Linked DNA regions of Callithrix jacchus. The main gene of each other region encodes a partner of the protein of the gene in region 6 in a complex. Links are inferred from orthologs where the notes say so. Each region holds a gene or a part of one and is shown on either strand. Other genes may lie near its edges.

Region 1 (4,058 bases), on a different chromosome or scaffold from region 6:
AAGAAACAGTTTGCTGATCTCTGTGCTATGTGTTGATTGATGAATGGAGGATTCAGTACTGGTTCTCTGATGATCCAAAAAGATCTAATTTTGCAATTAAGATTAATTGCACTGAATAAGCATTATGAAGAATGGAGAGGAATACAATTCAGCCCTAACCCTTACAGATTTATTAAAGGCAAGATTAATACATAGAAAATATTCTGGAGGATACTCTGATACTGACTACAAGTACCAAAGGAAAAGTTTTTTTTTTTTTTTAAATAAAAAAGAAAGAAAAAGATATAAAAACACACAAGAATATATCCCATCACATCCAAGGAAATAGGATTTTAATTGGTGCAGGGGAGGTGGTGGTTAGTGGCCAATCTAATTAGTTGAAAGGGAAGGGAGAAGAACATTCCAGGGTGGAATAAACAAGGGAACAACCTGGAACTTTAATAGAACTGTGAACTCAAAAACATGAAGGGATTAAGGACAGTAAATCCTTAGGGATTTGATCCACGTCAGTTTTCCAGTGAAAGCAATCCATGCCTAAAACTTCATTACTACCTGCATTTTTTTACTTCATTTTTCTGTATAGAATTCAAACAATTCAATATTCATTTGAGTTGGTATTAAGCTGTATGTTTGAATGAATTCCTTCAATCAGATTTCTTCTCATTCCAGATATGCACTACTCTCATAAAGTTTTGAATAGGAAAGGTAAGAAATTTTGGCACACAGAGCCCTTAGGAAGTGTTGCAGTAGAGTTTAAAGGAAGATGAGGTCACTAAATCCCGGGCATTTGATAGGGGTGAGCAGAGTACACCAGGATAAGAGACATAAGTACAGAGGGGACCTGGCATAAAAGCAGGCTTTTGTTTTTAAATTTTGCCTAAGATCAGCTATACAATGGTATAAAGGAAAAAAAAGGGTCTTGGAGTCAAAGAGCCCTGGGTTTGAAGCCCAGATCTGCCATTTACTGCTTTGAGACTTTTGGTAATCATTATTCTTTGTAAGCCTTGGTTTTCTTCATTCTAGGCTGAAGTAAAGAATTTAGTAAAGCATCCGGCACTCAGTGGGCATTTAATAAATATCTATTTCCTCCTCCTCCTCCTCACATGACCACATACATAGGCTATAACAACTCAGGCTAGTACTAAAATTCAACTATACTATATTTTAAATGTTGGGGGTGCTGTCAAATCAATTTAATCATCATTTTAACTGACTTATGAACAAATTTTTTTTTTTTTTTGAGACAGAGTCTTCCTCTGTCGCCAAGGCTGGAGTGTAGTGGCACGATCTTCGCTCACTGTTACCTCTGCCTCCTGGGTTCAAGTGATTCTCCTGCCTCGGTCTCCCAAGTATCTGGGACTACAGGCATGCGCCACCACACCCAGCTAATTTTTGTATTTTACAAATACAAAATACATGGTGATAAAAATACAAATACATAGTGAGACACGGTTTCACCATGTTGGCCAGGCTGGTTTTGAACTCCTGACCTCAAGTGATCCACCTGCTTCAGCCTCCCAAAGTGCTAGATTACAGGCATGAGCTACTGCACCCTGACTGAACAGACTTTTAGATAGTTTACTACAATTAGGGCAGTCTTAATTCTGCATATTTCTATGCTAAATTACCATACTGTGAAATATGCTTTGACAGCAAAAAAAAGCTAATGGATGCAGTAATGGAAACAATATCCAAGTTACAGAAATAAATAGCCCTGCTGTACTTAACTCCGATCAGATCACTTCAGGGATAATACATCCAACTCAGGCACTACATATGAAACTAGAACTCAGCCTGAAAAGGCAATTAGGATAATTCTTTTTATTTGAGAACTGTTATAAAGTTACTGCATTTAACCCTCACAATATCATGAAGCTGGTATGGCAGGCATTAATTCTATTTTAGAGATGTAGAAAATTGAGGCTCAGAGAAAACAGGAATGAATCTGGAAATTGAGCACAGATACCACACACATCCAAAATTTCAAAATCCTTTAGAAAGTACTTAAAATTGGGGGAGAGTTTGGGAGGAGGGAGGGTTAAACTGTATTGAAAAACAGATTAGGAAGAACGATAACACTATATTTATACACACAGCTACACAAGTGTACACTGTGGAGGCAAAGACAGTTTGTGGAAAACTACATAAGGTATTGTTAGCAGCACTGCCTTTGAGGAGCAGAAGTGATAGACGAGGAAGACCCACTTACTTCCCTGAACTCTTGGAATTAAATTACTACGCGCCTATATTACATAGAACACGTGGAAATTAAAGTTTTAGACCATCGTGCAAGAACTAGATGTATGCTGGGTGAACCCACCGAGCAGAGCACAGACACAGAGGGGAAATGTACTTTCCAGGAGCACACATTCACCAAACATCATTTAAAGAGCTGTCCAGCATCGGAGTGGCGTCCCCAAAACCCGTGAGTTCCCGCCCTCTGGTCCTACCACTGTAGGAGGGGCCAACCAGAGATCTGGGCTCGATCAAAGACCCCAGAGACTCTCCCAAAGCCGAACCCCCTCCTCCGAGAGAGCGGAGGGGCCGACCAGCCATTACCTCGCAGAGGCTGAAGAGTCCGTAGGCCGCCAGCCACACCGTGCAGGTGACAGCCGTAAGCGAACGCAGCGAGAGCCGAGGGCAGCTGAGGCAGAACTCCCGGCAGGACGGGGAGTAGTAGCGGCGCTGCAGGGCCAGGCGGCCGCCGCAGATATCCGAAAAGCTCCGCTCATCCTCCATGACTGGCTTGCCCCTACTAGGCGGCCCGCACTGCACCGCGTTCTTCTGCTCTCCCAGCCTCGCCAGCTCCAGACCCGCTTCCGGCAGTCGCGTCACCACGCCCCGCCCCTAAGCCCGCGCAGCCTCAGTTGCGCGCCAAGAGCCCTCCTGGGGTCTGAGTCTGAGAAAGGGAATGGTCAGACCCATCTCTTGAATGGTGAGTCATGTGTTTTAACAACGTTTCTTGTTCACCAGATACACTTCATTAAAAAGCGAAGTGGGGCCGGGCGCGGTGGCTCACGCCTGTAATACCAGCACTTTGGGAGGCCGAGGCGGGTGGATCACGAGGTCAAGAGATCGAGACCATCCTGGTCAACATGGTGAAACCCCCGTCTCTACTAAAAATACAAAAAAAATAGCTGGGCATGGTGGCGCATGCCTGTAATCCCAGCTACTCAGGAGGCTGAGGCGGGAGAATTGCCTGAACCCAGGAGGCGGAAGTTACAGTGAGCCAAGATCGTGCCATTGCACTCCAGCCTGGGTAACAAGAGCGAAACTCCGTCTCAAAAAAAAAAAAAAAAAAAAAAGCGAAGTGACAGTCAGAAAAGTGAAGTGACTTAGCCAAGGTCATACAACTTGGAAGCAGCAGATCAGGAAGAAAAATCCAGGTCACCTGCTAGGTAGGCTAGTCTTCCGTCCAAGGGCATACTAGACCCAGGTCAACTCAGCCATGTGGGGCTGCCAGATGTTTCTGCATGTGGATAAAGAGAAACAGGCCAAGGGCTACGAGGGGGCAGAATAAGCTAGAAACTCCCAGAACTTTGGTCCTAGAAGGGCCCTTAAGAATTATCCAGGCTGGGCATGGGGGCTCATGTCTGTAATTCCGGCATTTTGGGAGACTGAGGTGGGCAGATCACCTGAGGCCAGGAGTTCAAGACCAACCTGGCCAACATGACAAAACCCCTTCTCCACTAAAAGCTCGGCCTTGGCCCAGCTTCTGTAATTGTCTTCGTACAAAGTTTGTTGGGGGCAACAATTCAGTGGACAGATTAAAACGCTTTTAGGCCAGGCGCGTTGGCTCACACTTCCAGTGCTTTGGGAGGCCAAGGCGGGAGGATCGCTGGAGCCTGGGAGGTCGAGGTTGCAGCGAGCCGAGATCATGCCACTGCTCTCCAGCCTGGGTGACAGAGCGAGACCCTGTCTCGAAACAAACCCGTAGTTTGTTTTTGTTTTTGTTTTGAGACGGAGTGGAGCAAATTTAGCTCACTGCAACATCTGTTCCCTGGGTTCAAGCAATTCTCCGGCCTCAGCCTCTGAGTAGCTAGAATTACAGGCACCCA
Region 2 (2,554 bases), on a different chromosome or scaffold from region 6:
CCCGCAGGACCGGGAGACCGGAGGCCAGGGGAGCCGCGTCCCACATCTGCCCGACCACATCGCCAGACTACGGGAATGGCTTGAAGCGTTTTAGGTTCGCCACCGGCTGCGCAATGCAATCACCCGGGGACCGTTTTAAAAATGCCGATTCCCCGACAGCCCCCAAGACCAGCAGACTCGGAATGTCCGAGGGATGAGACCTGAACATTTGTATTTTTTTTTTTTTCTTTTTTCCTGTTAAGAGACAGGGTGCTCCTTACGTTGCCCAGGCTGGCCTAGAACTCCGGCTTCAGCCTCCTAAGGAGCTGGGGGATACAGGCGCCGCCCCCACTCCCAGCTTATTTGTGTGTTCTTAAACGACCCCGAAATGATTTCTAAGGTATAACCAGGTTTATGAACCACTGCGATTCAGGACAAGGCCAAAGCCTTCTGGTTTTTAAGCCAAGATGATGAAAAGTATTGTTGTACCCTCCAGATTCTTGTGAAGGTGTCGTGTACAACTGGTGCCTGACAATCTTAAGCATTTCACCTGTGTGTGCTGCCCAGTGGCTCTTAGTTGTGGACTAGCAGGTTTCGTAGAAACCTCTTTAACCTAGTTTTTGGGAAAACAGCTCTACAGTTTCCAAGCTACCAGAATTGAATATCAACAACATTAACACTAGTATTACAAATCGCATAAACTAAACACCAAAATGTTATCAGGGACTATCTTTGAATGGTAGATTGCTAGCAGTTTTTTCATATTTCTTTTTTTCCCATAATATTATTCAATTTTCTCAAACCTTGAAATTACTTGATTTGCCTTTATAACTAGCTCACCGCAGACTCACTGCTTTCCAGTGTTTTCTCATTTCTGCCCTCTCACCTTTTCCAGTTATTTCCTTCTAATGGATTAGTTAAGTTTCTCTATTTAGCATTTATTCTAAAATGAAGAAGTTGATTTTTCTCTAGTGTTTGTTCCAGTAGTAAATTTACAGAGATGGTTTGAGGGTTGACCGAAGTAGTGAAGGAATATTTGGGTAAGAGGGGGATCTTTTCTGACTACTATAAAAACGAAATTAAGGAATAACTTGTGAATAAGGCGAAAAAGAGAATATGAGAGAAACCGACTAAAATGGGAATAATTATAGATTCTAAGAGAATTTTTTTTAAGATAAAAGGTTGAATTGGCTATTGTTGCTTTTAGAATTGAAGAAGACTACTCTGGGATTAACTAACTCTATACCGAGAATTGGATAAATGGTGGTATTTGTTGAAAATCAGGCTCTTCAAGCATTTTATTTTTCACAATTCATTTTGTTCTTTTTTTTTTTCAACCTCAGATATGAAGCATCAACAAATGAATTGATTAATGAAGAATTGGGAATAGCTTATCCAATCATTGATGGGATTCCTAATATGATACCGCAGGCAGCTAGGATGACGCATCAAAGTAAGAAGCAAGAAGAACTGGAGCAGCGCTAGTTCATAATTAAAAAAAATAAAAAAAACCCAACAGCTGACTTTTCTTAATACCGTATACCTTTTAAAACATAGTGGAGGGTAATAATTGGAAGAGAAGAATGTTTATGTCTCTTCCTACGTTGACTGTTCTTATTCCACTGGTTTCTTTAGCAGGACTGTTCTACTCGGCCTCTGTGGAAGAAAACTTCCCACAGGGCTGCACTAGCACAGCCAGCCTTTGCTTTTACAGTTTGCTCTTGCCTATTTCCATACCAGTGTATGTATTCTTCCACCTTTGGACTTGGATGGGTATTAAACTCTTCAGGCATAATTGATGTAACTAGTGTCAATATGCTATATTTATTAATAATAGCTCTTGGGCATCTATCTCTGAAAGCTCAACTGGATGGAAGTTTGCAGGAAAGAGGCTTTGCTTTGTGTATATCAGGCTTAGGACTGTGGGAGACTTAAGTTGCAGATGCTTCTTTTGTTGTACTCTTGCTCTGCCCTTGTGTTTTGCAGGCTCTGACTTATAACTGCTGTATCAGAGAAAACATTTTGACAGTGTCTTGTTGGAGATGAACATCCCCAATTGTCATGTCATGAGTATTTCTTATTCTGTTCATCTAAAAGTTATTGAAATTTTGTTTTGCTTGTTTGTTAAGTTTAAGGTCTTTGGTAAAGTCACATGTTAGGAATGACTGAAATAATTCTAAAGGAGTGATGTTGAAATACTCTCTCTAAGGGAGACAAATGCATTTGAACAAGTGTGATATAAAACCATATCATCAAATAGAAATTTCAGGTACTTAACAGAAATTAAGTTTGTAAAATTACCTTCATTTCTTTGACATTAACTGCTTATATTAGCAATAAAGATGTTGACACTTTACCATAAAAGATGAAATAAACCAGTTTGCAGTAGTCATTTGTTTGGTCACAGAAGTGTGATTGATACAAAGGGAAGTTGTAAAACTGCACTAAACATAGGCTGTGTTTAGAGAGGTACTTCCTCTCTAGAATCATTTCCCAGGAAAGTGAGGGGTCGAAGACTTGCAAGTAGTAGTTTGTACCCTTTTGAGCTTACAGCCACATTTTGAGCCACATTTCA
Region 3 (4,328 bases), on a different chromosome or scaffold from region 6:
GCGGCCCAGGGCCAGCTCCTGGTGGCCGATGCCAAGGACAACTCCATCAAGGTGTACCAGGGCCTCAAGCAGCTGGCCTGACCTTCAGCTGGGCTGGAGCAGCCCTCCTGTGCCTGGGGCCAGCTCCAAGGCCCTTGGATCACCATGGGAGGAACCTTCAGTGTGGGTGGAGCCTGCAGGCTGTGGGCCTTGCCAGCCTGATGCCAGCACTGCTTGGGCTGGGCCCAGTCCTCCTGCTGGTGAGGCTCCTGAGTTAGTGCCTCCCAGGCTGCCCCTGCCAGGCCTGCAGCCTCCCCAGCCAGGGCCAGTCTCTGCTGTCCCCATTGAGCGCCATGGCCCCTGCATTTATGCACCCCAAGTCCACTCAGGCCCTGTGCATGAACTTTGCAGCTGGCAGCTGAAGCCTTGAGTGATGGTGGGCATGTCGGGCCAGCTGCCGGCACATGGCTAGGCATGCTCTCTCCTGGTGCCCCCACCCAGGCCTCCTAATCAGAGGCAGACAGGCAGGGAGGGTGCAGCTGGGCTGGGCTTGGCGACCTGGGGCAGGGGTGTAGCCCTAAGTGTCCCAGTTAGAGGCACCTACAGTCCTGAGCCTCCAGTAGCTTTTCTGGGCCTGGCAGAGGTAAGGGGGAGGCAGCCCTGGAGGTGTCTGGAGGCCCATGAATGGTTGAAACCTGGATGCCTTTTCTTCCACGTCCCGTGAATGAAGGCTGGGCCTTCATTCTGCAAATGGGGACAAACAGCTCCGCACTTGAGGGCCTGGGGGAGCCTTCCTCTAAGGACAGACTCCTGCTGCTTTAGAAGACTGAGAAAAGGCCGGGCTCGGGGGCTCACCTGTAATCCCTCAGCCTGTAATCCCAGCTTCAGGAGGCCGACGTGGGTGGATCACAAGGTCAGGAGATGGAGACCATCCTTGCGAACACCGTGAAACCCCGACTTTACTAAAAATACAAAAAATCAGCCGGGTGTAGCGGCGCGTGCCTGTAATCCCAGCTACTCAGGAGGCTGAGGCAGAAGAATTGCTTGAACCCGGGAGGCAGAAGTTGCAGTGAGCCGAGATTGTGCCACTGCACTCCAGCCTGGGCAACAGAGCAAGATTCCGTCTTGGGGGTGGGGTGGGGGGAAACTGGGGGGGGGAAAAAAAAAAAAAAAAAGCAGGCACCCGCCACCACGCCCGGATAATTTTTTGCATTTTTAGTAGCGACGAGGTTTCACCACGTTGGCCGGGCTGGTCTCGAACCCCTGACTTCGTGATCCACCAGCCTCGGGGATCTAACCCTCTGCCTCCATTTTGCAACTGGGGAAAGAAGGCGTGAAAGGAGAGGCGCCTGGGTTACTCTGCGGGTCTGGGGTCCAGGGAGGGGCTGGCATGGGGAGGGGAGCCGGGAGGGGGCAGTGTCTGGCCCTTCCCCTGTGGGGTGGGAGGGGGGCTCCCCTGCGTCACAGGACGTCCCCCCCGAGAGGTCCTCACGCGCCTGAGCCCTGTGGGGGGGATTAATTGGGGAACGTGGTAGGTGCTCAGTGAACCGGGGCTGCTGCCGCGGGCGGGTCTGCGCCGGGGTCACGTTCCTCGCACCCGGAGGCGCCGGACGCCCGCGTTCCCGCCTGACGATCGCTGGCTGCAGCCCCTGGGGGGCTCCTACCCGGGCCTCAAAGTCCCCGGCACCGCCGGCCTCGGGGATTTGGGGGCGGCCCCTCTGCAGACTGCAGGGCGAGGGGCGGAGCGGGCTGGGGCCCGGGCCCTCTGGAACCCCGCAGGGGCTGGGCCCGTTCACCCGGGGAGGCGGGGGGCCGGGCGGGGTCGTCGGTGTCTCTCGCCGGAGGAAGCGGAGCTGAGGCAGCGCTGGCGGCCCCGGGGAGGCGCGGGAGGTCCGGGCCTGGGGACCGGGCTGCGCCGCGGAACGCTCGGACTGGGCGGGCGGGCAGCCCGGGCGCCTTTGGGGGCCGGACCGTCGCGCGGCAACGTGCGGAGCCGGCGGAAGTGGGGCTCGGGTCCCGCGGCGGGGCTGGGGGCTGCGAGCGCCGTCATCCGCCCGGGCCCGCCCAACGGGGTTCAACCCCTTCCGGATCCCCCCCCCACCCCCGGCCCGAGCGCGCGGCCCCCGGAGCAGCCGGTGAGCGGGGCGGTGGGAGGGCGCGGCGGGACCTCGGGCAGCGCCCCTGCGGCTCTGGGCCCGGGCTGGGGGCCCCGCCCGCCCCCCGCGGGGCTGCTGGTTCCTCCTCCTCCGGGAAGTGGGGCGGCCCCTGGGCCTGCGCCTCCGACCCGCGCCGACCCGGCTTCCGTAGACCTTGGGCAGGGGCGGCCGGGGTCCGGGCCGGGCTGTGGGCCCGTCGCAGTTGTCCCGAGTCGCAGGAAAGGGCGAAAAAAAGAATCACAGGCTCTTCCCGGCCTCAGGAAGACGAGCGAGCGTTTGTTTGGGTTTTCTTGAGACGGGTTCTCCCCACGGTGCCCAGGCTGCAGTGCAAGGGCGCGATCTCGGCTCACTGCAAGCTCCGCCTCCGGGTTCAAGCAGTTCTCTGCCTCCGCCTCCGCAGTAGCTGGGGTTACAGGCACCCGCCACCACGCCCGGATAATTTTTTGCATTTTTTTTTTTTTTTTGAGACGGAGTTTCGCTCTTGTTACCCAGGCTGGAGTGCAATGGCGCGATCTCGGGTCACCGCAACGTCCGCCTCCTGGGTTCAGGCAATTCTCCTGCCTCAGCCTCCCGAGTAGCTGGCACTACAGGCACGTGCCACCATGCCCAGCTAATTTTTTGTATTTTTAGTGGAGACGGGGGTTTCACATGTTGACCAGGATGGTCTCGATCTCTTGACCTCGTGATCCACCCGCCTCAGCCTCCCAAAGTGCTGGGATTACAGGCTTGAGCCACCGCGCCCGGCCAATTTTTTGCATTTTTAGTAGCGACGGGGTTTCACCATGTTGGCCGGGCTGGTCTCGAACCCCTGACTTCGTGATCCACCCGCCTCAGCCTCCCAAGGTGGGATTACAGGCGCAAGCCACTGCGCCCCGCCTATGTATTGATTTTGAGAGGGAGTCTCGCCTTGTCACTCAGGCTGGGGTGCAGTGGTGTGATCTTGGCTCACTGCAACCTCTGCCTCCGGGTTCAAGTGATTCTCCTGCTTCAGCCTCCCGAGTAGCTGGGACCTGTAGCCTGTCTCCACACCCAGCTAATTTTTGTATTTTCAGTTGAAACGGGGTTTCACCCCCATCCTGGCAGGTCTGGAACTCCTGACCTGGATTGATTCTCCCGCCTTGGCCTCCCAGAGTGCTGGGATTACAGGCGTGAGCCACCTCGCCAGGCTCATGCTTATTTTTTCAAACAAGGCACTGGGACACGCAAGTTCTCCTGAGCTCTTGTGGAGCGGCGGCAGAGAGGGGCGGCTCAGTCAGAGATGGCCCTGGCCTGTCCCAACTGGGCTGAGGTTCCGCCATTCCTGCATTCAGGGGAAGAGAGGAAAGTCACTACTGTCTGTGGTTGAGTTTTGACCCTAAGCTTTGTGGGGAGGGGTGTCCTGGAGCCCTCCCTAGCTGCCTGCTCTGGACAAGAGCACTCAGGATCCTTCTTAGCAGAGGAAGCTTTTCTGGCTAGCCTGGTGCCCTTTACTGTTTTGTTTTTTTGTTTTTTTTTTAATCTCAGTCTTTAAAGATGCTCACATTGCCCGAGTTTCTGCGCTCTTCCTCCCGTCCCGCACCTCCTCTGCTATCGATTGCTGCTCTTTCATCTTCCTCTGGCTGTGTGATCCCGGCAGCCGCTAGCGCAGGCTTCTTTGTGTAGTCGTCGCTCCCAGAGGCTGAGGTGGGAGCGTGATGGGCGTTTGCCCCGTAGTGGGTTGAGTTCTCTCTCACTGCCCTCCCATCTCAGTCAGTAGACACAAGGAGCTGCTGCTTTTTTTCTTAAGGTAAAGTTTGTAGATAAAGCACAAAGCATACACACAAAGAAAGCGCCGGTATCGTGAGCACATGCATAGCTCGGTGAATTTACCCAAAGTGAGCCCGATGCACAACCCGCTCCCCCCAGTACATCTGTTTACTGTTAGGCTGATTGTGTTTCTTCTCTGACTATCTGTGGGCAGTTTTCCTTAGTTCCTGTGAAAGCTGTTTCCCAGTAGGGCGTGATGGGTCCCTGGGCTGAGCTGGAGCGTCCTGGCTGGCTGTTGCTGAAAGGTGGGCTGTGCCGGGTGATCCCTGCTGGTGGTCACTCAGCCAGAAGCGCTGGCCCCTCACAGGCAGAGCTGCTGTCACGATGAGCTTGGTGCCCACATCGTGTGGCCTCCAGGCCTGTACCTGCCGCCTGCCCTCTCTGGCCACTGAGGAAATGGGCATCTGG
Region 4 (4,124 bases), on a different chromosome or scaffold from region 6:
GAAATGGAAGCTTAGAAAGGATACATCACCTACCCAAGGTAAGTGGCCGAGAAAAATTTTACCTACCTATTACATCAGTGATGATGCATTCTTTTCTTAACAAATATGTATTACAGAATTCTGTATGTCAGGAGTGTGAGGCACAATACTGAATCAAAAACAGGTGGCTTCTGGGCTCCCTAAACTCAAAGTCTAGTAGTGAATCAAGAGTAAATTGGTATTTTCACTACATTGTGATGAGTGCTCATGAATAGCAAAAGATGACACAGAAGCACATTAGAAGGACCTCCTTCCACTCAGTGTCCTCCTGCCCTTGTTTAATTTCTCCCCACAGTACATGTGAGCACCTGATACTGTGTATGTTTTTCTTATTTAATTCGTCCATTGACTACCTCCCCACAACGTTAGAATAAAGACTCTATGAAAGCAGGGCATTTTGGACTGTTTTGGTCCTTCCTGGCCTGTAACAGTGCCTGGCACATGGTAAGCACTCAATAAATACTTGAGTTAATTTTTGGTTGTGGATATCATGAAATTTAAGTCTTTTTTTTTTTTTTTTTGAGATGAAGTTTCACTCTTGTTGCCCAGGGTGGAATGCAATGGTGAGATCTCGGCTCACCACAACCTCCACCTCCCAGGTTCAAGCAATTCTCCTGTCTCAGCCTCCCAAATAGCCGGGACTACAGGCACGTGCCAGCACACCTGGCTAATTTTGCTACTTTAGTAGAGACGGGGTTTCTCCATGTTGGTCAGGATGGTCTCGAACTCCTGACCTCAGGTAACCGGCCGGCCTCAGCCTCCCAAAGTGCTGGGATTACATGCGTGAGCCACTGTACCCGGCCAGAATTTAAGTCTTAAAGTGATTGCTTTTATTTACTCATATAGCTTCTAATCTTTGAGACTCTCTTTAAACAAGGATTTACAAAAGTGCTAACAATAACATGAGTAGCTAACATTTATTAGCACGTAACTGTTTCTAGGCATTGTTTTACGTGTTTTACATAAATTACCCGCTAATCCTAGCAACAGTCAGAAGAGGGAGCAGAGTGAAGTCAGCCAGTGTATTTGGGTTCAAATTTAGAGGCTTATCATTTAGCAGCTTTGCAACCTAGGGCAAATTACTGAAACCCAGTATGTTCATCTCTAAAGTGAGGACAATAACAACAGAAACTCCCCCATAGGGTTGTTTCATGCGTCATAAGCATTTAAGAACCATAATTATCATTACCTTTTACAGGTAGGGAACCTGAGGCTGCCAGCTCACATGGCTCACCTGTGGAGTCAGAATTTGAACTCAGCTGTAACTTTTTCACTTCAGTTCTAACAGCCTGGCCATTTCATTGTCGGCAAGTTGTACCGATGGTACAGGCTGACATAGTTCAGTTAGGGTTCAGAAGTACTACCCCTCTTCTACTTTCCTGGTTTCCAAAGAGTTCCAGAACGTTGGCTCAGGGACACTCAATTTCCTCTCTCTTGCGTGCCTCATAATTCCCAAATCCTTTTGGGGAGAGACTTGGGGCTTGCTTACTCACTTGTGTGACTGGGCATATTAGTGTCTCAGTGAGCGTCACCCTCCTTATCCCTAAATGGACAGTTATGGGGATTAAGGGAGATGCAGGATGCAAAGAATCCACCTTTCAACCGAACTTCTCTGGCCTACACCTCTTGTTCCTCAGATCCCACAGGGCACACTGGAGCCGTATCAAGGTCCTCATGTCCAAATCCTCTCACAGCCTTTCCACTTCTCCCCTCCCTCCTACTCAGCATCAGTGTCTGGGTGGGGGTGGGGGGATGAAAGCCTTGACTTTCCAGTCTGGTTTCAATGTCTCTCCGCTGTGCTCCCCTGACACTCGTCACACTGAGCATTAACTGTAGATTTACTTATCTGTCTCCTCCACAAGACCACTACCTCCTTCAGGGCAGGGACCAGGCTTTATTCACTCTGCCATCGTGTCTGGTGCTGTATAAATATTTGTAGAGACTAAAACCACCTAGGCTAGTGCTGGCGTACAACACTCAACAAACACGAGCTCCCTTCTGATTTTCTTAAAAAGAGACATAGGGAGAAAGAATCAACAGTTGGTGTGTGCACAGTCTAACCAATGCATTCTTCCCTTGTCACTGAATGCCAGAAAAAGCCCCTGGCCATCCATCGGGAAAGTACTTACTGAAGACAAATTGGGAGCCTAAGAAAAGAACAAAGCCATAAATCGCTCTTTCTGGCAATGGCGACGGTGAATTTTCCACCATTTTTCCTAGGGCTTTAGACAATCTGCGGAAAAGGAACACAGTTAGCCGTCAGCGACGTGCTCCTCCGCACCAGTGGGCCAATCTCGCCCCAGCGCTTCGCAGCGGGGACGGTGCCCGCCCGCAACCCGCGCCCCCACCTCGCGCGCACACAGGGACCCAGGCTGGCGCGTGCCCCGCAGAAGGGGCGGCGCGGGATAGGGCAGGGAGAGGGGAATGGGATAATAGACGCGCGCTCCAGCTCTGCGAGCGTGGCCTTCCCGCGGGAAGGGAGGGGAGAGCGGAGAACAACGCTCCCGCGGCGCCCACGAGCACGCGGGCCTACTAGGTCACGGCACCCAGGCCCCGGGCCCTGTCCACTCATGGGGGCTTCTGTTTCTCTTTCGAGCTGGGATATACCGGGGGCCTCGACCTGGGGTCTTTCATACGCCCACCCAGGCCCCGCCCGACACCTCTGCCGCCTCAGCGCTGAGATCTCTGCGCAGGCGCCGACTTGGTAGCCGCAGTGGGGGCGGAAAGACAAAAAACTGAGTGAAAGGCCTAGCGACGGCGCTCCCACCCTGGCGCAGGCGCACGACGACCCTCCTCGGGTAGGAGCCAGAGAGCGCGGGGGCCCGCGGGATCCGTTTGGCTCGCGGCGACGAAGGAGGGGGCGGTGCAGCGCTACTGCGCCTGCGCGCTGCTAGCCCACGTGACGCACCTGCCTTTAGCGCCTCCGCTCGCTCCCTCCAGCTGTCAGCTGACTTGGAGGGCCGGAGGTGGCGGCGGCGGCGGCGGCTGCGGCGGTGGCGCCGGCCCGCGTCGAGGCTCGCGGGCGGCGGGCCCCGGTGAGTGCACATCCAGCGTGCGGCAGGGCTCCCGGATGTGTCAACTTGTCCTGCTGCAGCCGAGATGCCGGGGGAGCGGGGTCTTCCACACCCCCTCTGTGGGTGTGTGGTGAGTGTGGGTGTGTGCGCGTCGCCCCGCGTCCCTCGCTGCCGTGCCTGCTGTGTTTGCGTGGGCTGGGGTCCCGCGAGATGAGGGGGTGTGGCCGCCATTGCCTGCCCCAGTGGGTTTTTCCCCTTGGTCTGGTGCCCCCTTCGCGAGCGAGGCCCTGCGATGCCAGGGCGAGGGTGGGAGTACTCCCTTTGTGCGCATCTCCCCTGCCCGTGCGTCGGCCGGTGCGTGGCTGACATCCCCTATGGGTGCAGGGGCCCACGCTCGCGTGTCGCCATGTGGCCCCCTTTGTGTCGGTGTCCGTGCTCCCTGGCGGCTGCGTAGGCGCTCTCGGCCTCTGCGGGGGGCCCCCCTTTGTGTCACTGCTCTGGTCTGTGGGCTGCGCGTCCCCCAGCGCGCGTGGCCGCGCCTCCTGCGATCGCGACCCCCGCCTAGAGCCTCGCTTGCGCGAGGTGCGTGTCCCCGAGTGTCCCCAGAGTGTCTGCGCATGGGTCCTGTCGAGTGCGTGATCTCTTGTGTGCGCGTTTAGTCCTGTCGAGTGCGTATCTTTTGTGTGCAGGTTTCGCTGGTGCGTGTTCGTGAACGTTCATGCGCACCCCTTGCTCTGTGTGCGTGTGTTCACCACTTTGTTGCCACCTGTTTTCGTGGGAACTGGCAGTCCAGTTCAGGGCCTGTTCCCACGGAACGGACGCGGGGGGGGGTAACCCCGGCGCTCCCCTCGCCCCCGCGCCTCTTTGAGTATCCTCCCCCGACAGACGCTAACGGGCAGGGGGAGGACAAGATCGAGTCTGGCCCCCTGCTCCGCAGTGTTGACGCTGTCAGTGTGGCCTGTTCAGAGGACAGAATAAGCTGATCAAAGATAAAAAATGGAGCTGAGACGTAGGCGAATTTGGGTTGGTACCAGTGCGTCATGCCTTTTCCAGAGGCGCCCTGGACGCCAA
Region 5 (4,351 bases), on a different chromosome or scaffold from region 6:
AACACACACCTTTGCTTTGTCTACACATGAAAAAAAAATCACATTCTCAATAAACAGGTAGACAGTTTTATGTATTTTCAGAACAAAATGCACAAGTGCTTTCAAGTGCTCATTATTCAGTTGTGTTATTTTTACATAATTTTGAATATATCTAAAGCAGACAATTAGAGTTTCAAGAAACTCAAAGTCTTAAGGAACAAAAGCACTAAGAGATAGAGTACTTATTAAGAGTAAGGCCTATATTCAGTGATAATTTTCATCTGAGAAACCCAGAATATTTCTACTTTTAAAGCACTTGACTTGGGTTTCCCAATGGATCAAATGTGCCCTCTGATAACTGTCCCCATCCCGTAAGACGAAATCATCTTCTGTAGACGTTTCATAAAACTTTTGCCTTCAGTGGCTGAGAGGTTACCTTCTGGGGAGGCTGAGCACTAATGGCTTGTTTACAAGGCTGGCCTCACTAAGCCAAGGAATCTTGTCAAATTTTTGAACAGAAGCCTAGAGGGAAATAGAGATCATGTTTACAGAATGTATCACTCTTGAGCATTGCTCTCATTATGATGGCCAAAGTCAGCTAACAGGAACCATATAGTAAACACTTTACAAAACATTTTTATATTTTATATTTAACTCTTTAGCCATCCCATAAAGCAACCAAGTGCAAATAGTGTCATCTCCATTTTACTGATGAAGAAATCAAAGGTCAGATAGTGTGATTTGACCTCAGTCATGGAGCTAGTAAATGGGTCATGTTTTCTAACTTTCGTTTCCAGTGTAACCTGTGTTTTACTACATCCCTTTGTTTCTTTATTACCTCCATCTGTTCATACATCCTTTAATATTTCCATGAACTCACTTGAATTAGCAGTCTTCTCCTCACCCCTCTTAGGAGGTAAAGAGGAGAAAAACCAAGCTTCGAAGCTATAGACAACTGGATATTGATCTCTGTTCATCTACTTCCCAGGTGCCTGTCTTTGGACAAATACAATTTATCTAAGCCTTAGATTTGTCCTCTTTGAGAGGGGAGATGATATAATCAGTGTAAAGATCAATGCACAAAAAAGAGAGTTTCATGAGAGCAGCAGTTTTTGTGTTTAGTTCAGGGCTGCATCGTGAGCATCACAAACAGGGCTTGCTACCTGCACGCATTCAGCCAGTATCTGTGGAATGAAGGCATGCAGGGAAGTCCCTAGCTGAGGGCCTGACTTAATAAAAGGAGCGCAACGGAAGTGGCCATTATCTCTCACCTACTGGCCCAGCCTCTTTTCCTGTCCCTCTCCTGCTTTACCCAGCCCTTCAGATGGCACATCCCGTTTTGCTGTAGGGGATTGTTGGGGATTTGCTTTCCTAAGTTTAGAGCGTTCGGGTTTAGGCCTATCTTCAGGAGGGGAGCCTGGCGGTCTCTGAGCAGCCAGGAGAGGGCAGCAGCCTCGGCGCGGTGGCTCAAGCTGGGGAAGGGCACCCTCGCGGAGGAGATAGCGGAGGACCCGGAAGTACTCGGCCACAGTCGCAGCCCCGGCACACCGGAGGGGGAAAAAGTCTGAGGGCCGCCGCCCCGCAGCTGCGCATCCCCAGGAATTCTCGGGCAGGTGGGTTCCACGTAATCGTGTGTTTCCGGGGCTCCTTCTCCTCTGCTGTCCCCCGCAGGCCTAAGGCTGGGTGAGGGGCGGCGGCGGGAGTGGGAGACCTGGAGAGTGATGGCACGCCCCTGGGGTCACCCTATCCTATCCTGTCCCCTCCCAACTCCACTTTGCCGGCGGGCGCTGCCCTTTTGGGCGCCGCAGACCCTCCAACCCCGGCGATAGCCTTGAAATTCCTGGGCTGGGATCCCCGCAGCGGAGAGAGGAATAATGGTGTCTGACTTGCCAAGCAGCACTTGTCTTCATGGAAGAAGTTAGGTCGGGCATTTATGAAATTATTTTCCTCTGATTTGCCAGATGGCTGTGGTGTTGCTGACTCTTAGTTTTCCCATTGTGAAAAAGGGATGATTATCTTCTTCGATCCTCGCAAGAGTTTCGCCGTTTTGAGTAGAATGATAGCTCTTTAAAGTATGCTAAGCTCAGCTAATGGAAGAAAAGTGTAGTTTCTTTGAGTCTTTGATTTTGGCTAAATAAACTGCAGCACTCGTATCTTTCTGTATAGTGCAGCTTACTATTTATTGTCTTTGGATCGGTAACTTAAAAAATATAAACAACATGCCTTTGAGAACCAATAAAAGCTATGGATATTTTCCCTATAAATTTACACAAATGCAGATATAAGCATGCAATGTGATATACCTGAGGGGTATGTGAACCAGAGAGTTATGAACTGGTTTAGAGGGAAATACAATGTGAGACACAGGCTTTGGGATAAGACTGGTTTGAACGCTGGCTCCGCCCTGTTACCTTACGGCAAAGTTACTTAAGCATTTTGAATCTCAGCTTTTTTACTAAAGCAGGACTAATACTAACTTGCAAGGTTGTGAGGATTAAGTGAAAGAAGATACATAAGGCACTTAGCACATAGTAGGCACTCAATAAGTGATAGCTAACAGATGCATATTATTATTCAAGGAATTACAATTTTCAAATCTGAAATGCAGTTTTAATATCCCAAATTGATAAGGTGACTACCAAATACATTTTGCTCAGACTTTTAGTAAACTGAATGATTTGGCTTTAACTCAGTACTACCCTTGACCTTTCACAACTTTCATAGGTTCACAGTCTCTCTTTTTCTAGGAACCTGGCTGTGTTGTCCTGCTTCAGAGACAAACTCATCTGTTGTAGGCCTAGCCTGGGTTGCTGCCTTTGAAAACAAGGAAAGTTCAGTAGAACATCAACCACAGCGTGGAATTTCCAGGGAGGTCTCATTTCAAAACTTCATAGAGAACAGGAACCACCCGGACTTCTGTGAGGGCAGTGATTAAACTGGCCTGAGTTTGAATGAAAGGATAATGTGTGCCCAACCTGTAACTAACACCAAGGAGGTCAAGTGGCAGAAGATCTTGTATGAGCGACAGCCCTTTCCAGATAACTATGTGGACCGGCGGTTCCTGGAAGAGCTTCGGAAAAACATCCACGCTCGGAAATACCAATATTGGGCTGTGGTATTTGAGTCCAGTGTGGTGATCCAACAGCTGTGCAGTGTTTGTGTTTTTGTAGTTATCTGGTGGTATATGGATGAGGGTCTTTTGGCCCCCCATTGGCTTTTTGGGGCTGGCCTGGCTTCTTCACTGATTGGGTATGTTTTGTTTGATCTCATTGATGGAGGTGAAGGGCGAAGGAAGAGTGGGCAGACACGGTGGGCTGACCTGAAGAGTGCCCTAGTCTTCATTACTTTCACTTATGGGTTTTCACCAGTGCTAAAGACCCTGACAGAGTCTGTCAGCACTGACACCATCTATGCCATGTCAGTCTTCATGCTGTTAGGCCATCTCATTTTTTTTGACTATGGTGCCAATGCTGCCATTGTATCCAGCACACTGTCCTTGAACATGGCCATCTTTGCTTCTGTATGCTTGGCATCACGCCTTCCCCGCTCCCTGCATGCCTTCATCATGGTGACATTTGCCATTCAGATCTTTGCCCTATGGCCCATGTTACAGAAGAAACTAAAGGCATGTACTCCCCGGAGCTATGTGGGGGTCACACTGATGTTTGCGTTTTCAGCCTTGGGAGGCCTACTGTCCATTAGTGCTGTGGGAGCCATACTCTTTGCCCTTCTGCTGGTATCTATCTCATGTCTCTGTCCATTCTACCTCATTCGCTTGCAGCTTTTTAAAGAAAACATTCATGGGCCTTGGGATGAAGCTGAAATCAAGGAAGACTTGTCCAGGTTCCTCAGCTAAATTAGGACATCCATTACATATTAAGGCAAGCTGACAGACTGGCCTCTTAACTAGTATAAAACTTGAAGACAGAGTTCCATTCTGGAAGCAGCATGTCATTGTGGTAAGAGAATAGAGATCAAAACAAAAAAATGAACCAAAGACTGAAAACAAGGAAAAGTAGGTAGAACATCAACCGCAGCATGGAATTTCCAGGGAGGTCTTATTTCAAAACTCCCTGGGTGGTAAGGGAGCTCATCCTTTCTATTATTTTGTGGATGAAAAAACTTTCTGGGGGTCTCTTGAATTACATACTGTAACATATGAAGTGATGTGGTTTCTATTAAAAAAAATAACACATTCATCAAGTTGTCTCATGATTTTTCCATAAATAGTAGGCAGACAGAAGAGCATGAAGAGTAAAGAGAGAATGTGTGTGTATATGTGTGTGTGTACGTAAAGTCACTTCTCTCTACCCTTTTCTGTGGGCTAATGCTCGCTCTTTGATTTATCTAGGGCTCAAATCCTAGAGCACAG
Region 6 (4,171 bases):
TCAGGGGGCTGGTAGGGCCAGATTAAAAAATGCATCAGTGAATTAAAAGGCACAGGGGACTGGGCATGGTGGCTCACGCCTGTAATTCTAAGACTTTGGGAGGCTGAGTTGGGAGGATCGTTTGAGTCCAGGAGTTTGACACCAGCCTGGGCAACATAGAACTTAAAAAAAGCTAGGCTCAGTGGCTCATGCCTGTAATACCAGCACTTTGGGAGGCCGAGGCCGGCAGATCACGAGGTCATGAGTTCGAGACCACCCTGGCCAACATGGCGAAACCCCGTCTCTACTAAAAATACAAAATTTAGCTGGGTGTGGTGGTGGGCTCCTGTAATCTCGGCTACTCGGGAGACCGAGGCAGGAGAATCACTTGGACCCGGGAGGCGGAGGTTGCAGTGAGCTGAGATTGTACCATTGTACTCCATCCAGCCTAAGTGACAAAAGCAAGACTTCATTTCAAAAAAAATAAAAAGCCTTCACGGCTGGCTTCCCTTAGGGACGCGGTGACAAGTGAGACCCGGAGGAGCAGCCGCCCCATGCATGAGTGGCGAGGGACCGCGTTCCTGTCTCTATAGCTGGAGAAGCGTGAAAGATGATCTGGCCCAACATCGCTTTGTTCTCAGGGGAAGAGCCCTCCAAGACTGGGGAGGGGCCTGTGCGCGGGTCTCGCTCCGAAACGTGTTTGGGCTGCTCCAAGAGGCACCCAGTGAAGGGAGGGAGGGGACATCCGAAGGGTGGCCCGGGAGACCGGGAGATGGTGAGGGGGAGTCCCCTCTCCACCAATCCAAATCCTCCCCATCCATGCGGGCTCCAGACGGACCCTCCCCCACCCATCCCAGGCCGGAAAGTGAACATTCTCTGCACCTCTCCCACCCGTTTCGGTTTCACCACTGACTAGGATTGGGATCTACCCCTCTGAGCCTCGCTTTTCCCATCTGAAAAATGGAACTTCCGATCCCTCACTCCCATCCCACTCTGGCTCCAGGACTCTGGAATGTTTAGAGATTAGCTTATGGTGGGACGGCTACAGAACTATGGCCATGAAGGCCAGGGAGTCTGGGTTCCCAACTGGGTCCCATTCCCTAGGGAGATTCGGGCAGCAACCGGCCAGGCCATTTCCTTGAGAACTACATTTCCCGAAATGCAAAGGGAAGAACTACATTTCCCGAAATGCAAAGGGAAGAAGGCGGTTCCTGCTAGTCTCGGACGACGTGGGGCCTGAAACCTGAGCCGGACCTGGAACTACAACTCCCGGCGTGCTCCGCGGTCCAAACCGGAAAAGCGTGACCCGGAACCGGATGTTGCTTGTGGCTCCGGTAACTTAGCGCCGGGGGAAATGGTGAGATTGGGACCGAGTGCCGGAGATACGGGCGTCTGGGGGTGGGGTCCCGGGTCTGCTCAGGAGCTGGGACTTGGGCACTTGAAACGGGGATTGCTCTCCCGCCTGCCCATTGTACGGACAACAGCGAGGCTTGGCATTCTCTCCCAGCCTAGAAACTGATCCCTAGTCAGCCCTCTAGCATCTGTTGAATGAATGGAAGCTTAGACAGTGATAACGGCCGCGACGCCCGGCTTCCATTAGTGCGCGGAAATGGAGAGTCACTTTGTCAGCTGAGACTTCCCTTTTCTCCAGGCCACGGGGACAGACCAGGTGGTGGGACTCGGCCTCGTCGCCGTTAGCCTGATCATCTTCACCTACTACACCGCCTGGGTGATTCTCTTGGTATGTCATTCTCCCCGCCCGCTGCTCACCTTCCCCGAGCTCTGGCACCGCCAAAGCAGCTACAATATAAGCGCTAGGCACGGCACTGGCATCATTGCCTGCCTCGTCTCATGAAACCTCCAGAACAATTCTATGAGGAAGATGCCATTGGTGCCGCATTTTATATATGAGATAGCTGAGGCTCGGGGAGAAGGATGAAGCTCAAGATTACATCCTTAACCGCTACGCGTAAAACTCTGTTTCCAGCTTGCTTTGACTTTTGGAGGAGTTCTATTCCTTCTGGGTTATCCTGCTGACTCTTGGCCATGGCGAGCGCCAGTGATATTTGTGAAGGCCTTTAGGATATATTTTTTTCTTGTGGGAAAACTTGTTGGTCATTACTTAAGAAGTGCAGTGTGTTTGGAAGTGCAGAACGTGGTTATTTTTAAAGAAAAAATATTAGTGAAAAAGCCTGGAGGCCCAGGTTGGGAATCAATCGAGGATTCCTCATGTACCATTTGCTAGGCTGTGAGTGCCTTGGGGCAGATCTCTTGTCCCCACCACCAACCTGTGGCAGGCACCAAAGCAAGTGCCTGGTAAATACCAGTAAGAAATTAAGGAAGGATCAGTATTAACCATCACATTGCTCAAGAGAAAAAAAATTAAGGAAGGGAAAAAACAGGACACCCAAATCCCATAATCTTAAAGAAAAGCAAATCCAGTCCCAATGCTCTGAATGGGTCAGCCCCTTAGATGGAGGAGGTGGGATGTTTGGGGGCTGGGCAAGGCGAGCAAGGCTCACCAGAGCTCTGCCCTCGATGCCAGCCATTCATCGACAGCCAGCATGTCATCCACAAGTATTTCCTGCCCCGTGCCTACGCTGTTGCCATCCCGATGGCCGCAGGCCTCCTGCTACTCCTGTTTGTGGGTAAGTCATCACCTCCTCCCCTTGACCCTGGGCAGGGTTTCGGGAGGACCCACCTCAGAAGGTGCTTCCACACTTTGGCACTGCTGGAAGCTCCCTGCCCTGCAGTCACCCCTGGGGTTTTCCTGTTATCCTTCAAGGCTGCCAGTCAGTAGCCTCTGGGCCTCCTGGTGCCTCAGGCTTTTTGGACTCCAGTGACCTGTCCCCCTCTTTTCTTCCCCCAACCCCATCATCACTCTGCTCACCTCAGTCACCCTCTCATCACCCTGACTTCTAATTCCTGCCCCTCTCTGTCTCATGGCTTTCTAGGGATGGGGACTGTGTCTCCATCATTACTGTGCATCTAGAATGGGCTGTGGCACTGAGGTTGTGCTCAAAGTCATTTGGATGAGTCAGTCAACAGCCGGGTGCCTGGATGATGAGTGGATGGATGGGTGGGTGGGTGAGGTGTAGGTGGTGGGCAGGTAGGTAGGTGGACAAGTGGTTCATTGGGTGATCGATAGATGGGTGGATCTTGTTCCCCTTGGAATCTGAAACATTAAATTCAGCATCTTGCCTGAGGCAGGCACTCAGTTGGTGTTTGTTGAATGAATGTGAATGGACCTATGGCTTGATGAATGACTGGGGAGATGAGCAGGTCCCCTAGAGGGTGGGTGGGTAGGTACACAGCCCTGCAGGTGGGTGGCTCTGCCGTGTCATGCCCTGACCTCCCAGCAGCCCTGAGCCCAGATATTACGTGGCCTTTCTGGTCTGTGTATTCCAGGACTGTTCATCACCTACGTGATGCTGAAGAGTGAGAGGGTGACCAAGAAGACTCAGTGAAGGTCCTGCGGGGATGAGGCTGCCAGCCCCTTCTCTGCCTCCCCTCCAGGGCAGGGACCAAGCCTGGGAGCCTGCAGAACCTTCCCAGGCACAGTGGCGCCCCAAGCCTGGCTGTCCTGCAGAGTCCCCATAGCATGGAACTTAGCCCTGACTGACTGGACCCCCCTCCCCTGCTCTCCCTTCCAGAAGCTAGGAGGGAGGGACACAAGAAAGGTCACCCCTTTCTTGCCCAGGGCCTGAAAGATGCTGGTCCTCCCAATCTCACTCTCAGACCCCCTGCCACCTTTTCCCCGGGGTTCTGCCATCATGCCTCATTTCCTCTCCTGTCACATGCTGACATTGGACTTAGCAGGTTCTAAGGCTGCATTTGTGACCTCTGACCTCTCTCCACAAGCCCTCTCCTCCACCAAGGCAACTTTCCTTAGCCTGACACAGCGCCACTCCCCACAAGCCCTTCTGGACCTGGAAAGCCTGGGGAAGGACTGACAGACCCCAGGACCACCCGTAGGGCTCAGGGCACATTATGAGCTACCCCGGGCCCACTGATTGACCACTCCTCATGGAGGCCCAGCCCCCCAACCCCAGGGCAGGCCTATTTGGGAGAGCTGACCAATAAATGCTGACTGATTGTGTATTTGTTTTTGTGCTGTGTTTCCTGAGAGTTGGGGCTGGAGGGGGCTAGGAACTGGCCCCCCCCATCAGTCTTGGGTCAGGAGATCATGTGC
Region 7 (3,553 bases), on a different chromosome or scaffold from region 6:
ATCTGAAACCTGTTATGTTGGTAAATAAATGTTTGTTATTGAATAAATACCATCAGATTCTCCTCTCTTCATATTTATTCCAAATTTATTCCTTTGAATCCTTAAGGAGACTGTGTGGATAAAGGAGTGCACACACTAAGCTCTGTTGGGTTCTTCTAAGGGCTGTGCTGTCCTATACTCACTTCATAGTCAAAAGATACTGTCGCCTTAGAAGTCTGAGGGAAAAAATGTGGATTCAAGGTGAAACTCTGAGGCACAGTAGGTCCAGATGGCCTTAACTTTGAAAAGAACAAAGTTTCACCAAACTACCTCTCCTAGTTTTCTCCCCTCTCCCCACAAAAAAAGGTAGAAATTGCTGCCTCCCTACTGAGACACTAATCTTTAAAAAAAAAAAAGTTACAGTGTCTGTGACTCTGAAAATAGGGAGCTCCTTGCTATTTGGTTACTGAAAAAAGTGCTTGGGTTTACCCACTGGACAGCCCAACTCCACTGTCTCACCTTGTAAATCTGGTATTTGGCCTGCAGTCCATCTAAAGTTAGGCTGCACATTCACTTGCTGTTAAGTGTCTAACTGACCTCGATTGGTGATAGGTGAATCCCACCAGCATTTTTTCTATCCTGTGATGTCTAGTTCCTGTTTTAACCTAGCTTCCCAAGCTCATCCTAGAGGGACTTAGTTTATCCTAGGGAATTTATAAAGGAAATCATGAGAAATCAAAACTTACCATAAACATTTATTGGGAAATGACTGTTAATTTTGAGGTTCTTTTTTTGTCATCTCTTATATATTGTTGCTTCATCATCATTTGTCCACTCTGTACAACAGTTTCAATGTTTGGAACAGTTTCTTCAACTTTAAAATTTAAGGAAATCTTAAATAATGTATGCTTCTGCATCAAATGATTCATTTTACTCTATTTCAATAATTTCTGATAGTATGACGGGAAAATAATTCTCTAAAAGATACTGAGAATTCATTTTCAAAATTATTCTAAGTTATTTAGCAAATATTTAATGGCCTTTCTTGCTTAGGACAAATGTATCATAATCATCAACTTTGTGAGCTTTTCTGTTTACCAATGGCCAGTGGAAGTTTTAGGCTTTATACATACCAGTGAACTCTTTGAAAGGTCAAGATACATGTTAGGCAAGTGTATTTATCCAGAAGTTGAGATATATATATTTATATATATATATATATATTTATTTATTTATTCTGATTTCTTACAGATTATACCGCAAAGAAGTTCTAGAGAAATTAATAGAAAAATGTGTTTCTAAAGGCTATGTCTTCCAGATGGAGATGATTGTTCGGGCAAGACAGTTGAATTACACTATTGGCGAGGTATGCAGCTGATGCTAAATAGTATGTCATGTTCCTGGTAAAGGAGGGGTAAAGTTTCACTTTCATAACTGCTAAATTGTGGAGGTCTTCTGGTTGTTTAGAATGTTCATGCACAAATGGTAAAAATTCACATTAGTACATTTGAACAATAAGATTTAAAACATTAACAGTTAGCATTCTCTTTTAAATAATGGAAAGTTCCTGGTACTTTCTCAATCCTAGCCTTCCTTCTAACCGGTCAGCATTATGGACTGAGTCTCTGCTTTTCCTTTTGCCACAGCCAGTGTCCACCATACTTTAAAATGAATGATGAATCCCATATGTCCATTTCCTGTAAGTGAAGACCAGGAATTACAGAGCCAAGGGAGTGGTGATCTGTAATACTTAGGGCTAGCGAGTGAGCTCTTAGGGTAGGGAAGACTCCTCATTTACTAGTAAAACTCTTATTCATAGCAAGAAAATAACTAACCTGAAATGTCACTTCTCCCGTGGAAGTTGCAAGATGTTTTACTTAATGCTAAGCTGTTATAGCTAAATTTGACAAACAACTGAAAAATCTAAGCAAAAGGCCGCTTTACTTTTGGGGTATAATTTTTCTTTGAAATGCAAACTGAAACTTGAGTAAACCAAGGTGATACCTAGGATCAGTGCATTTTAAACAGTTGTAGATTGGTTCATGTGACCTATCTTTAGATGATGCATTTAATTTTAAAGACTTGGAGATACACATAGTTGTTTTTTTTTTTTTTTTTAAAGATGGGGTTTCACCATGTTGGCCAGGCTGGTCTTGAACTCCTGACCTCAGGTGATCCACCCGTCTTACTCTCCCAAAGTGCTAGGATTACAGGCGTGAGCCACCGCACCCGGCTACACATAGTTGCTTTAAGAATCCTAAAGTACTTACTTTAAGGACTTCTTTTTAGGACTTTTTTTTAGTCCTGTTTCTGTTGTGTTGGTAATATGGTATACCTGCTAAGCTACCTAATTATTTTTGAAGACTGACTTTAATGTTTTTTGTTTTTTGTTTTTAACTAGGTTCCAATATCATTTGTGGATCGTGTTTATGGTGAATCCAAGTTGGGAGGAAATGAAATAGTATCTTTCTTGAGAGGATTATTGACTCTTTTTGCTACTACATAAAAGAAATATAATCATTTATACTTATGTTCATTTCACTTTAAACATGAAAGAAGCCTGGTTACTGATTTTGATAAAATGTACTCTTAAAGTATAAACCATAAGGTAAGGTAAACTTCACACATCTTTTTTATGAAGAACTTCTATATTTCAGATTAAGTAATTTTAAAGTTGTTGGCCTAATGAGTTTTAATGGTCTCAATTTTCATTTACATTTTGCTGTATTAAGACCTATAAATAAATGTATATGGTTTTTTTGCATAAAGTATTGCTGCTTTGATTAGAGTAAGTGAATGTAGAATTTTTTACATGGAGAATAATTTGAAATATTCTTTATAAATACTGGAATCATGAATCTTTATACCCAATAGATGTCAGAAGTAAGATAATGTTAACTGATGAAATGTTTATAGCTATATCATGGCTGTATCTGTATGATCTGTAAAAGAAATACACACCTCTGCCCTTTCCTTAAAAATGCATCTCAAATTTCTTAAACTAGAAAATCCATTTAGAGCAGGCTTTTAGAATTGGGTTCTTTTCAGCTGTGGAATTGATGAAGCATTTCATCTACCAAAGCAAGTCTATTTAAAATGCATATTGTGAATTGGGAAGCAATTTGGCAGCAGTAGATTACATAGTCGTATCTTTCTCTTTTGAGCAATAACCTCTATCAGTAAGGAAAAGTATTAATGATACTGAGGCAGAAACATAGCTGCTACAGTAATTTTTAAACATCTTACTGAATTATGTAACAATTTGTTTCTCTCTCTTTTTTTCTTTTTTTTTTTTTAAGATGGAGTCCTGCTCTGTCTCCCAGGCTGGAGTGCAGTGGTGCGATCTTGGCTCACTGCAGCCTCTGCCTGTGGGTTCAAGTGCCTCAGCCTCCCAAGTAGCTAGGATCACAGGCATACGCCACCACGCCTGGCTAACTTTTTTCTTTTTTTATGTAGAGATGGGGTTTCACCGTGTTGGCCAGGATCACCTTGATATCCTGACCTTGTCATCCACCCACCTTGGACTCCCAAAGTGCTGGGATTAGAGATGTGAGCCACCAAGCCCAGCGTAACA

The links.
Region 1: DPM2 (region 6) and PIGH share a complex: the UniProt entries of both Homo sapiens proteins name them as parts of the glycosylphosphatidylinositol-N-acetylglucosaminyltransferase (GPI-GnT) complex. The link is inferred for Callithrix jacchus from reciprocal best matches to the Homo sapiens genes DPM2 and PIGH.
Region 2: DPM2 (region 6) and PIGY share a complex: the UniProt entries of both Homo sapiens proteins name them as parts of the glycosylphosphatidylinositol-N-acetylglucosaminyltransferase (GPI-GnT) complex. The link is inferred for Callithrix jacchus from reciprocal best matches to the Homo sapiens genes DPM2 and PIGY.
Region 3: DPM2 (region 6) and PIGQ share a complex: the UniProt entries of both Homo sapiens proteins name them as parts of the glycosylphosphatidylinositol-N-acetylglucosaminyltransferase (GPI-GnT) complex. The link is inferred for Callithrix jacchus from reciprocal best matches to the Homo sapiens genes DPM2 and PIGQ.
Region 4: DPM2 (region 6) and PIGP share a complex: the UniProt entries of both Homo sapiens proteins name them as parts of the glycosylphosphatidylinositol-N-acetylglucosaminyltransferase (GPI-GnT) complex. The link is inferred for Callithrix jacchus from reciprocal best matches to the Homo sapiens genes DPM2 and PIGP.
Region 5: DPM2 (region 6) and PIGC share a complex: the UniProt entries of both Homo sapiens proteins name them as parts of the glycosylphosphatidylinositol-N-acetylglucosaminyltransferase (GPI-GnT) complex. The link is inferred for Callithrix jacchus from reciprocal best matches to the Homo sapiens genes DPM2 and PIGC.
Region 7: DPM2 (region 6) and DPM1 share a complex: the UniProt entries of both Homo sapiens proteins name them as parts of the dolichol-phosphate mannose (DPM) synthase complex. The link is inferred for Callithrix jacchus from reciprocal best matches to the Homo sapiens genes DPM2 and DPM1.

The regions. Positions count from the first base shown.
Region 1 is NC_133509.1:102,593,092-102,597,149, forward strand, and holds the start of PIGH (phosphatidylinositol N-acetylglucosaminyltransferase subunit H), read right to left. Parts: upstream 2,825-4,058; 5' UTR 2,740-2,824; coding exon 2,560-2,739; intron 1-2,559. UniProt on the Homo sapiens protein: Part of the glycosylphosphatidylinositol-N-acetylglucosaminyltransferase (GPI-GnT) complex that catalyzes the transfer of N-acetylglucosamine from UDP-N-acetylglucosamine to phosphatidylinositol and participates in the first step of GPI biosynthesis.
Region 2 is NC_133504.1:109,148,161-109,150,714, forward strand, and holds PIGY (phosphatidylinositol N-acetylglucosaminyltransferase subunit Y), read left to right. Parts: upstream 1-1,464; 5' UTR 1,465-1,562; coding exon 1,563-1,778; 3' UTR 1,779-2,026; downstream 2,027-2,554. Other genes in the region: PYURF (protein preY, mitochondrial), read left to right, coding at 1,318-1,464. UniProt on the Homo sapiens protein: Part of the glycosylphosphatidylinositol-N-acetylglucosaminyltransferase (GPI-GnT) complex that catalyzes the transfer of N-acetylglucosamine from UDP-N-acetylglucosamine to phosphatidylinositol and participates in the first step of GPI biosynthesis.
Region 3 is NC_133513.1:2,826,895-2,831,222, forward strand, and holds the start of PIGQ (phosphatidylinositol N-acetylglucosaminyltransferase subunit Q), read left to right. Parts: upstream 1-1,439; 5' UTR 1,440-1,510; intron 1,511-1,939; exon of another isoform or gene 1,940-2,114; intron 2,115-3,638; exon of another isoform or gene 3,639-3,900; intron 3,901-4,328. UniProt on the Homo sapiens protein: Part of the glycosylphosphatidylinositol-N-acetylglucosaminyltransferase (GPI-GnT) complex that catalyzes the transfer of N-acetylglucosamine from UDP-N-acetylglucosamine to phosphatidylinositol and participates in the first step of GPI biosynthesis.
Region 4 is NC_133522.1:43,067,390-43,071,513, forward strand, and holds the start of PIGP (phosphatidylinositol N-acetylglucosaminyltransferase subunit P), read right to left. Parts: upstream 2,890-4,124; 5' UTR 2,682-2,889; intron 2,273-2,681; 5' UTR 2,251-2,272; coding exon 2,169-2,250; intron 1,274-2,168; coding exon 1,229-1,273; intron 1-1,228. UniProt on the Homo sapiens protein: Part of the glycosylphosphatidylinositol-N-acetylglucosaminyltransferase (GPI-GnT) complex that catalyzes the transfer of N-acetylglucosamine from UDP-N-acetylglucosamine to phosphatidylinositol and participates in the first step of GPI biosynthesis.
Region 5 is NC_133519.1:30,305,908-30,310,258, forward strand, and holds PIGC (phosphatidylinositol N-acetylglucosaminyltransferase subunit C), read left to right. Parts: upstream 1-1,483; 5' UTR 1,484-1,592; exon of another isoform or gene 1,593-1,901; intron 1,902-2,703; 5' UTR 2,704-2,941; coding exon 2,942-3,835; 3' UTR 3,836-4,178; downstream 4,179-4,351. UniProt on the Homo sapiens protein: Part of the glycosylphosphatidylinositol-N-acetylglucosaminyltransferase (GPI-GnT) complex that catalyzes the transfer of N-acetylglucosamine from UDP-N-acetylglucosamine to phosphatidylinositol and participates in the first step of GPI biosynthesis.
Region 6 is NC_133502.1:176,562,783-176,566,953, reverse strand, and holds DPM2 (dolichol phosphate-mannose biosynthesis regulatory protein), read left to right. Parts: upstream 1-1,304; 5' UTR 1,305-1,333; coding exon 1,334-1,336; intron 1,337-1,630; coding exon 1,631-1,720; intron 1,721-2,524; coding exon 2,525-2,627; intron 2,628-3,387; coding exon 3,388-3,446; 3' UTR 3,447-4,080; downstream 4,081-4,171. UniProt on the Homo sapiens protein: Regulates the biosynthesis of dolichol phosphate-mannose. Regulatory subunit of the dolichol-phosphate mannose (DPM) synthase complex; essential for the ER localization and stable expression of DPM1.
Region 7 is NC_133506.1:46,465,315-46,468,867, reverse strand, and holds the end of DPM1 (dolichol-phosphate mannosyltransferase subunit 1), read left to right. Parts: intron 1-1,230; coding exon 1,231-1,345; intron 1,346-2,378; exon of another isoform or gene 2,379-2,380; coding exon 2,381-2,485; 3' UTR 2,486-2,960; downstream 2,961-3,553. UniProt on the Homo sapiens protein: Transfers mannose from GDP-mannose to dolichol monophosphate to form dolichol phosphate mannose (Dol-P-Man) which is the mannosyl donor in pathways leading to N-glycosylation, glycosyl phosphatidylinositol membrane anchoring, and O-mannosylation of proteins; catalytic subunit of the dolichol-phosphate mannose (DPM) synthase complex.